Linked DNA regions of Caenorhabditis elegans. The protein of the gene in region 1 purifies or fractionates together with the protein of each later gene. This does not show direct contact. Each region holds a gene or a part of one and is shown in the gene's direction. Other genes may lie near its edges.

Region 1 (5,409 bases):
TTCTTTAAGCCGGTTTATGAGTCGACTCTTTTAAACCTCAAAAGACAGCACAAAAATGTTACAAATGCGATGAAAGCGGTAACTTATCGATGGGTAAGTTGAAAGATGGCCAAAAGTGGGGGAGCCTTTCGCGAGCCTCGATTAATGTCGGCTGCGTAATTCTGGTCAAAGTCTCCGCCCGTATAATGGTTTTTAAAAGTTAAAATGGCAAAAAAAATCATTTTGGAACTCCCGCGCAAATTATTTTTCTAATTTTTCTTTAATATATAAATTTAAGCATGGCTTCTCAAAAAAAAAACTTTATCCTAAAAATCGATAATTTTACTTTTTTTAAAGTTTTTTGTGTTCAAAAAGTTGTACTAGAACTTGACAATAATTTAGCCATTTAGAAATTTTTTTCAAAATAAAAATAAAGACAATTAAAATTTTTATAACATTTTTGCACTCAAAGTAGAATTTTTCAGGTCACTCAAACGGAACAGATTCTGAACATGAACTTTGATTGTCCGCCGAGCATTCTGATTGAAATGAGATCTTAAACTGTTTGAATTTTTTTAACATGCGTTTTTATAAAGTGTTTATTAGCCTGATTTAAACATTAAATATAGAATATTAAATTTAAAAAAAAAACAAGAAGTCATGATTTTAATACTTCCGTACATAGATTTAATACGAATTTGCTGAGATTTTTTTTTCAACTTTTCGACGGAAATTTAATAACTTTCAATAGTTGGTGATAAATCATTCTTTGTTCAAATTTTGATTACTTTTCCGAGGAAATGTAAAAATTTTTTAAATTTTATTTTCTTAATTTAGTATTAAATCCTTTTTTAATTTCAATTAAATTTTTAAATTTTTGGCAAATTGTAGTTTCGCGCTATTTTTTTTTGTAAATTTCAGATTTTCAATTTCAAATGGTAAAATTAAACGCATCCTTTGAATGCTCCTACTTTTTTTTAAAAAGTTAGCAAATTCTATGAAAAAATGTTGAAAAAACGGGATAAAAATTCAAAAGGACACAGCTTTTTAAGTGTTTTCGATATCCGGCAAACGGCAAATAGGCAATTTGCCGATTTTTCGAATTTGTTTACAAATCAATTTGCTGAACAGCAATTGCCGCCCACCCCTGTACTATACTTCAGAGGCGCGGCAATCGGAAATTTCCGGCAATTGCCGGTTTTTCAAAATTGCCGAATTTGCCGAAATTATCGACTGCCAGACATTGTTTGCAATTTTCAAAGCTAATTATATTTCGGAAATTGAAAAAATTTCACATTGTTTTTTAGTATTCGGTTGGTCATTTTCTAGAAGAAAAGGGCCAATCCTTAAAGGATTAAAATATTTTGAGGTTGAAAAAAGAAAACTGTTCATTAAAGGTGGGGTACCGAAATTTGGGACTTTGCTTTTTTAGAACCAAAATGACCAAAAACTACCAAATTTCGTAATGAGACGCTCTGAAACTTTTTCAAAAAAAAGTTATGGCCGCTCAAAGTTTTGGAAATAATGGCCTATTTTTAGCTAAATCTCAAATTTTGGCAACTTTTCAGTGTCACAGCGGTTGGAACTTAATTTCAATCTGATACATCTTTTGGCATTTTATTATGTGTTATTTCAAAAAATAAAATGCCAAAATATGCATTGAAGGATGATAATCAAATAAAAATTAAGTTCCAACTGCTGCGACACCGATAAGTTGCCAAAATTTGAGATTTTAGCTAAAAATAAACCATTTTTTCCAAAACTTTGAGCGGCCATAACTTTTTTATGAGAAGTTTTCAGAACGTCTTATTACGAATTTTGGTAGTTTTGGACCATTTTGGGTCTAAAAATGCAAAGTCCCAAATTTCGGTACTTCACCTTTAAAATGCATGTTTAGGCTCCTAAATCTGCAAAAAGTATCAGATTTATATTTTCGGAAATTCAGATTTCTGGCAATCGGCAATTTTTGCTATTGCCGAAAATTCGATTGCCGACTCCACTAGCTGTTTTCCCATGGTAACAATTTGACCTGAGAAAAGCTGACACCTTCTCAAGTGACCAGTCATAAGGTCCATCAAAAAACAATGATTTTCCCAGTTCCGATCCCATTTGTTGATTCTCAATCTCTCCCTGCTACCCCCCGTTACACAACAAATCCCTTTCATTTTTTGTTGTTTCGGAAGAAGCCCGTTGGTCCCTTCAAATCTCTGCGTCTCTCTCGAAAATCAATATCTCTGTGTGATTTCTCACAAACAGTTGGCGTTCCCGGCCGAGTGAAGACGAATCCTTTCGTAATATTATCTTGGCGCAGTGGAGTACTAGTAGTGTGTGTGTGTGCAAAGAGATGTCCGAGTTTTTTCAACAAACTTTTTGTATCGATTACAATGGATGGGTTACGGTAGGTTTTATATTTAAAAAAATTGAAACATGTTTTTTTGGGCTAAAAAAAGGCTTTTAAAAATTTTTAGATTTTTTTTTAAACTTTATGAAAATTTTTTTGCTGAACTCTTCATAAGCCTAAGCCCACACCTAAGCCTAAGCCTAGGCCTAATCCATAAAAAATTTTTTTTAACATTTTGGGCAACATTTTTTAGATTTCTTTAATTGAAATTTTCTGAAATTTTTTTTTTGCTGAACTCTTCATAAGACTAAGCCTAAGTCTATGACTAAACCTAAGCCCAAGCCTAAGCCTAACCCTCTTAAAAAGTTACAAGAAGGTTTTTCCTTGCGCTTGGAGCGCAAAAGAAAATAAAAAGAGCTATTTAGACTTAGGGTGCCCAACTGGAATAAAACATTGGAAATCCCAATCCAACCAGCCTAAGGGCCCGAAAAACATACTAGGATGCCCAACTGGAATAAAATATTGGAAATCCTTATGACACACCGGCGGTATGGCGCGGCTTAAGCCTAAATAGCCACTTTTATCAAAATACATTTGAGCTCGCTTTGCGTTTTACAATAACTTCTCAGACTCAAAAGTAATCTTTGTATATTTTTCAGTAATCTAAATGAAAACTATAGATTACTAAGAAACTTGGAGATTTCGTAATATTTGGGGGAAGCGAGCAACCTTTGGGGATATTTTTTCGTAGTAAAGTTATAGAATGCCATTATCAAAATTCCTATCTCATGGGAAGAAAAGTTCAAATTCTGTACCAACAGCTCGCCTTGCGTTTTACAATAACTTCTCAGGCAACTCAAAAGTAATCTGTGGATATTTTTCAGTAATCTAAATGAAGATTATATATAAGAAACTTGGAAATTTTGTAATATTTGAAGGGATGCGAGCAATCTCTACATATTTGCGATCAACCTTTGGAGATTTTTTAAAGTAAAGTTATAGAATGCCAATATTCAAATTCTCATGGGAAGAAAAATTCAAATTCTGTACCTGCGTATTATTTTTTACAACTCCGTTCTTTCCACAAGAAAGGCCTTCTTCCCATGAGACAGGAATTCAGATATCGGCAGTATTCATAGGTACAGAATTTGAACCTTTTTTCACATGAGATAGGAATTTTATATCGATCAAATTAACCCTCCAATAAAGTGAGACCTTTGATGAATATAATCACTCTGATGATATTTAATTCCGATGATTAATCCATTTTTCTTTCTCTCACATTTATGAACTAAAATGATTACTAAATTAAGGCGTGATATTCTAAGGTGTGATAACATATGATATTTATTTTTAAATTTAAATAAAGTTTTTTTATTATTTTTGCTAAAGAATGAATAGTTTACAACCGCCTCGCTCAAATGTATTTTGATAAAAGTGGCTATTTAGGCTTAAGCCGCGCCATACCGCCGGTGTGTCATAAGGATTTCCAATATTTTATTCCAGTTGGGCATCCTAGTTTTTTTCGGGCCCTTAGGCTTAAGTGTGTCATAAGGATTTCCAATATTTTATTCCAGTTGGGCATCCTAGTATGTTTTTCGGGCCCTTAGGCTGGTTGGATTGGGATTTCCAATGTTTTATTCCAGTTGGGCACCCTAAGTCTAAATAGCTCTTTTTATTTTCTTTTGCGCTCCAAGCGCAAGGAAAAACCTTCTTGTAACTTTTTAAGAGGGTTTCATATATTTTATTAAAATCGGGGCGAAGCCCTGATTTTAAATCCATATTGTTTTTTTTTGTCTTCCTCTATCCCTGCAAATAGGAAAGATAATGTGTTCTTTCTGATGAAGTAAAAATCATCATAAAATCTTGAAAACTGAGAGCAGGAGGTAATATTTGAATATATTGGGTCGTAAATGTGTGTCTCTCTGTGGGTGGGGTGGCGATGTGTTGGCAGCCAACCCTTCAACGAACTGTATCTCCCGCCTGTATCTCCCTTCAAAGTGAGAATTGGGTTACAAAAATTTGAGGGAATATGAAAAAAGGTGTGAGGATTTTAAAAATATTATTGTTGAAACACCAGACCAAACCACTTTTTCTGGGCAAGAGGCAGAAAATTAATTTTTTGAAAAATTTCAAACTGGCACAAAATTTTTTCAAAAACAAATTTTCACAAATTGTTGAAAGATTCCATTTTTTATCAATATTGTTCATTGAACACAGAAAAGAAAACAAAGATTCATCAAAAAATGAGTGAAAAATCGCAAAAATTCGAAAAAATTAGTGCTGAAAAACTCGATTTTTTGGCGGTGCTGAAAAAAAAAAAAAAAAAAAAAAAAATTCACTAAAATTTTTTTGAAACTTAGTTTTTCGGATTTAGCGTCAAATTTTGAATCTATAAAAAAAAAACAAAATTGAAATTGATCTCAGATTGAGTGAATAATAAACGCTCAAAGTTGAAAAATGAACAACCCAAAAACGGCAGTAACTTGCTTCAAGGTCGGTTATCTCAGTGAGTTTTCACTCAATTTTCGAAATTTTTTTGCTCTATCGCTTTAGAAATATTTGTAATTTCATTTTTTTTCCTCAAAATCAAAATATCTCAAACGACCGCCATCCTACGAGAAGGGAAAAAAAAGTTTTTGGAAAAAAAATCAAAAATTTTTTTTCCAAAGATTTCTCAAAGACAACAGCGCACGAAGCGGTGGTTTGCGAAAAAACACGAAAAAAACACACCGAAGTGGGAGGGGGGAGGTCAAAATTGCGAATTTGACTTTGGAGCTCTCTAAAAGAGCTCATAGCTGATGGATCTGGATGATTTGTATGTTTTTCGACGCATCTCGTCGAGTACTATAAACTGCTGAAAAATCTCGTAAAAATCGCAAAAACTCGAATTTTCCTGCAAAAAAAAGAGGCGAAAAATGAGAAAAAAAACGTGATTTTTGGAGGATACTCGAAAATACTCTTCATATCTCGGCTCAAAGAGCTCCAATCTTTCTGAAATAAAGCATACAGAGGTGGGGCAAGCTTCTTGAAGAGAGAGCAAAAAACCGCATCAAAATCGATCCACCCACCGTCAAGTTACACGCGCT
Region 2 (5,498 bases), on another chromosome or scaffold:
GATAGCATCATTCAATCATATAAAGAACTCATAAAACGGCAAGATGGTGATATTGCCCAATTGAAGCAAGACAATAAGCGAATGAGTCTTGAGATTGAGAAATTAAATGCAGAAGTTCAGAATAAGCAAATGGAACGAGAAGTTGAGAATCTTCGTGTGAGATTAGAAGAATCTGAAGCATTTAAAACTCAAAATGAAGTGCTGAATAGTCAGCTAGTAGAGTCACAGAGACTCACACAACAATGGTATGCAGAAGCCGAACGATACAAGCAATGGGCTCAACAATGGCAAGCCTATCAGTTGGCACAGCTTCCGAATGGTGTAGAGACGGGATTGGCTCAGCTTCAGCAACAAGTCAACGAGTTGGAGCAGCAACTCGGATTTGGATATCAGGCATTCGAACAGCAATCACAAACGGTATGGTAGACAGGAGATTTTATCAGAAAATCGAAAAATCGAAAATTTTCGTTTTTTCGAAAAAAAAATTTGTCGATTTTTCAAAAATTAGCTTAAAATTTTGGTCAGGGTTCTTCTTTTTTTGATGAAAATATTTATTTTTTTTCTCATCAATAAAACAAAAATTTGATTTTGTAAAATCATATTTTGTGGTTAATTTTCGGAAATTTTTTTCGATTTTCCGGAAAATCGAAAAATCGAAAAATGACACAATTGGATCAAAAAACTAAACATTTAAATCTGCGAAAATCAAAAAAAACCAAAAAACAATTCGATGCTTAAATTTATTCGAAAAATTTTTTTTCGGCTTCCGTTTGGTCTAAAATAAAAAAAATAACCAAAAAAAAATAAAATAACCATAAAAATAAAATTTACATATTTCAGATGCTCCACTATACATCAGAGAATGCAAATCTTAAAGATAGACTCGCGAAAACGGAAGCTGCTCTCGCTGAAGCCAATTATAAAATTGAGCAATTGAATTTGAAGCCAATTTCGAATGGAATAGTTGTGGAGCACGAACCACAGGTAGAATTCGAGTGGAATTTTCGAAATTTCAGGAATTTCTAGAAAAAACACTGAAAAAGTATAATTTTATTGGAAAAGATGGAAAATCTTACCAAAATTATCGATTTTTTCATTAAAAAATCGAAAAAATGTGTAAAATTTCAGTTTTTCGAAACCTTGATTTTTTAACAGATTTCTTTTTTTTAAGAAGGAAAAAATATATATATATATAAAAATAGTTATATATTTGAGGTTAATTTGAGCAAAACTTGATAAAATTTCAATTTTTTTTTTGAAAAAAGCTGAAAAAATAATAAAAAATTCTAAAAATATCAAACACTTAAAATATAATTTTTCTATGAAAAAATTAATTATTTCGTTTTTCAAAAAACTACTTTTAAATTTTGGTTCGATTTTTTCTGAAGAAATTATTTTTTGCTACAGATTTTTCATCCACTTTTTCATTTTTTTTTCAATTTTCTCTGGAAAAAAACTAAAATAAAAACGTTTCGATGAGTAGCTTTTGAGCTTTATCTCAGTGAAAATAATTCAAACATTTCAAATTTTCAGGCTGACTCCGAAGAGTTTTCAAAACTGAAACAAGAACAAGAAGAACTTCTGATGCTTCTCGCTGATCAACACAATAAAATGTCAGCCTACCGACGCCTTCTTCGAAACCTAAAACAGCCAGTGACAGATGATGAGGACGAGTAATAAGGCTGTGGGATTACTAAAAATCGGGTTTCTTTTTTGTTTTCTTTGGGGGGTCAATCTTGTCATAGAACATGTAATACTTCCAATCAACTTTTCTTTTTTTAAATCGAATAGGTTTCCTGTATAATATTTAATTTATAACGCATACACCGTACTTTCGCAGGATTTTTTAAGTGTCTTCTTAAAGGCGCACAGGTTTTTTTCAGATATGTTTCGGCTTTCTTGTTTTTTTTTCTCAAACTGATTTAAAACAATTTTTAACTTATGTGATAAATGCAAAGAAAATAAACAAAATTAAATACCATAAAAATTTTTTTGGGCTCGCCGAGACCCATAAAACCGTGCGCCTTTAAGAAGACATCTCAGAGATCTTGTAAATCTACGATATCGTATTCGCCGTGATTTTGCTGGCAAAATATTTTCTTCCTGTTTTTTTTGTATCCCTACCTACTCTTTCCATTTCGTTCAAACCACACTGTCTTCTGTGATACCGAAATTATGTTTTTTTTTTCCTTTCAATTTTATTTATGTAAAACTTAATAGTAAATATGGTCCAAATAAATTATTGATTGATTCCGAAATCCATCATTCTCTCTCTCAGGTTGAATGGGGATTCGGTGAATGATCAAATGATATAACGAACCCGTCTATTCTCCATATCAATAGTGATTCGGAAGCCGGTTCGTTCCTCTCGCCTGCTTCTCCTGGCCCGCGCATCTGCCATTGTTCTTCGCCTGTACACACCCTTTTTGCCTCTCGAAAATAATGATCTGGAAGAAATTTGCACTTTTGCTCATTTTTCTACCATCTCTAGAAGCATGTCATGCTCAATTTCAAAAAGAGCTTCGATATTTAGACTTGTATCTTGGTATTAGGCCAGATAATAATGGAGAGATTCCTGTGGAAGGTTGGTTTTTTGGTTTTTTGAAGGAATTTACTGTTTTTTGCTCCGAACGAAAAAAGTCTAAATTTTCGATTTTTTGGAAAAATTCAATTTTTTTTCAATAATTTATGGCCACATCCCGATTTTTTAAAAATGTTTTTTTCAACATTTTCCAGTTTTTTTTGGATTTACTCTGAATTTTGACGAGATTTTTTTTTCCAAAAATTTAAGCTTTATCGGAAATTTACTTGATTTTGTAGTTCCTTATTAAAGGCGCACGGAATTAAAAGTTCGCGGTAGTTTAATTTTTATTTAAACTTTGAAAACTGATTGTCAACGATTTATTACAGCTGAAAACCATGTGATTTCATTGAAAAAAAATACAATACTACATCCAATGAACAAATAAAACTACCATAAACTTTTTTGCGCGCCGAGGCCCGTCTGAATAATTCCGTGAGCTTTTAATGAAGTACTTCAAAATCTACAGTAGTACAGTAGTAGTAAAATTACGGTATTTTATCCAGATTTCGCTAATATTTCGCTAATTTCTGTAACAAAAGTATGTAACAACAATAAATCAGCCGATTTTTACTTTCATAAAAAATCTGGTTTTAGATTCGTTCTTAAAAATTAGTGATAAATAAGCAATTTTAATGTGAAGTGTTTTTTTGTTTTTAAACAGCTAAAATTATCAAACCACGAGGATCTGCAAAAAAAAACCACAATCACGTGGATTTCAGAGGCCGTTGGATTTGCCACGTATATTGAGTCACCTGATGAACTCAACTGTGACTTTGAGACCGAATGTCTTTGGAGAAATGCGCCGACTGATAAGCTTTTGGATACCAGTGATTGGTGGTATTTTAAGGTTTGTTATTCATGAAAAACTTTCCTTCAAATGTCTTGTGCCATTCTATTCTTTTTTTGGAATATAAAACCTTTTCTGAGTGGGTCTTGTCACGATCTCAGTTATAGATTTCGCTGAATACAAACTTTGAATGTGGTATAATTGTTCAATTAGAAATAAAAATGTATGTGAAATTCCATATCCTACGCTATATGTAGGCCAGGGTATAATATACAATATTTAGCTTTCAGTTTTGAGACGAATAATATGTAAAAGATACCAACTAATTTTGGCAACTAATTGGTTTTATGAACTAGTTTTAACTGAAAGTTTCAAAAAAAAAACATTTCAAAAACTCGATTGAAAGTGGCAACATTTCGAGAATTTATTCAGACAATTCAATTATACAGTTCAACTTTAGAACCATTGGAAAGTTCACCAAAAATTATAGAAAAAATTTGGAACGCTTCACGAATTTGCGTGTCATCCTTGCGCAGGGGCCATGCTAATCTTCTCTGTATTGTTCCAATTTTAGTATATGTTCTCGGAAGAACGAACAGTTAGATTTACATTTCAATTATATAGGGACCATTTACACAGCAGCTGACATATTTGGAGTTATGTAAGACACTATGACTATGCTAGGGAAGTGGAGATGCAAATCGATATTGGTATCGCTATAGAATAGGTGCACAAATTATTGATCTACATCTACATTTGGTATAGTGTCTTACATAACTCCAAATATGCCAGCTGCATTGTTAATGGTCCCTATATAATTGAAATGTAAATCTAAATGTTTGTTCTTCCGAGAACATATACTAAAATTGGAACAATACAGAGAAGATTAGCATGGCCCCTGCGCAAGGATGACACGCAAATTCGTGAAGCGTTCCAAATTTTTTGACGATTTTGTTAGACAAATCTATAAATTCTATACTTACAATTTTTCAAAACTTTTTTAAAAAATTAAACAATTTCAGAAAAATGACGAGAAAACTTTCCCAGTTCAAATCCAGCCCGGAAATCCTGTAATTCCAAAAGGCGAACATTTTATAATTGCTGGAAATACGACGAAAAATCCGAATGGAGCAGTGTTGAGCAGTGCTCCAATTGCTTGTCAAAAAGGATTTGCCAACTTGACTTTCAGGTATTGTCAAAGATAATTTTAAGAATTTTAAGCACAAAGTTGGAGGGCCTAAATTTTTTTTGAAATAAAATGTGTTTGCTCTTCTTTGAAAGCTTAGATCTCTACTGTCTTTGCATTTTTTTTAATATGTAAAAAACGAACTAAGCGTTCTTCTATGATTCAATAGTTTGAAAAATGCTGATATAAAAAAAAAAAATCGAAATTTTTAGTAATCTTTATATGACGCACAATTTCTCGTTTTTACTACAAAAATATTGCTATTTAATATTTTCATATTAGATTTGAGTTGCCTGAGTAAAAGCTCACAAAGTATGCGATCGGCAAAATACTGTGCTCTAACTAACATAGATTCCAAAATAAAATTATAATCCCAGTTATATCCTTCTAGCTTCTGGCTATACAACAATGCTCAAGTGGAAGTTATCATCCTTCGAGCAATGAATCGTAGACGTCATCTTCAAGTCTTGCTCAGACCAAAAATGAAGTGTGATTTCTTGGGAGCCGCCAATGAGGAATGTCGTGTCGAGATTCCGCCGATTAAGGAACCGTTCAGAATTGGAATTCGAGCATTTGATCTCAAAGATAATACTGTTGGAAGTTTGGCAATCATTGATCATATCAGATATCACGGAAAGATTTGCCAGCAATCACGTAAGTTTTAAAGTTATTCGAGATATGAAGCAGTCAAAATCAAATTGGCGCGCAAAAAAAACGATATTTTTAATCCTTTTTTAAAAGATTTTGTTCTGTAAATTTTTCAAAATAAAACTAGATTTGTTAGAGAAGTTTTAAACTTTCACTGAACATCCAGAAAAATCCAATGCCTCACTCTTCATAATCTAACAAAATATCTCAATCACTCCCATTTTACCTAAAATTAATTATTCCAGCATTCCCATCATCATTCTCATCTCTTCGTATTCCTCCATATGATAATA

The links.
Region 2: the proteins of acs-16 (region 1) and mam-3 fractionate together in Caenorhabditis elegans (co-fractionation; one large-scale study listed by BioGRID). This does not show direct contact.

The regions. Positions count from the first base shown.
Region 1 is NC_003279.8:1,468,998-1,474,406, forward strand, and holds the start of acs-16 (AMP-dependent synthetase/ligase domain-containing protein), read left to right. Parts: upstream 1-2,077; 5' UTR 2,078-2,323; coding exon 2,324-2,377; intron 2,378-5,409. Other genes in the region: F47G6.3 (LEM domain-containing protein), read left to right, coding at 1-93, 465-539.
Region 2 is NC_003282.8:13,442,211-13,447,708, reverse strand, and holds the start of mam-3 (MAM domain-containing protein), read left to right. Parts: upstream 1-2,333; 5' UTR 2,334-2,442; coding exon 2,443-2,584; intron 2,585-3,303; coding exon 3,304-3,431; intron 3,432-3,862; exon of another isoform or gene 3,863-3,964; intron 3,965-4,207; exon of another isoform or gene 4,208-4,325; intron 4,326-4,393; coding exon 4,394-4,560; intron 4,561-4,948; coding exon 4,949-5,211; intron 5,212-5,450; coding exon 5,451-5,498. Other genes in the region: uso-1 (Uso1_p115_head domain-containing protein), read left to right, coding at 1-417, 841-984, 1,534-1,677.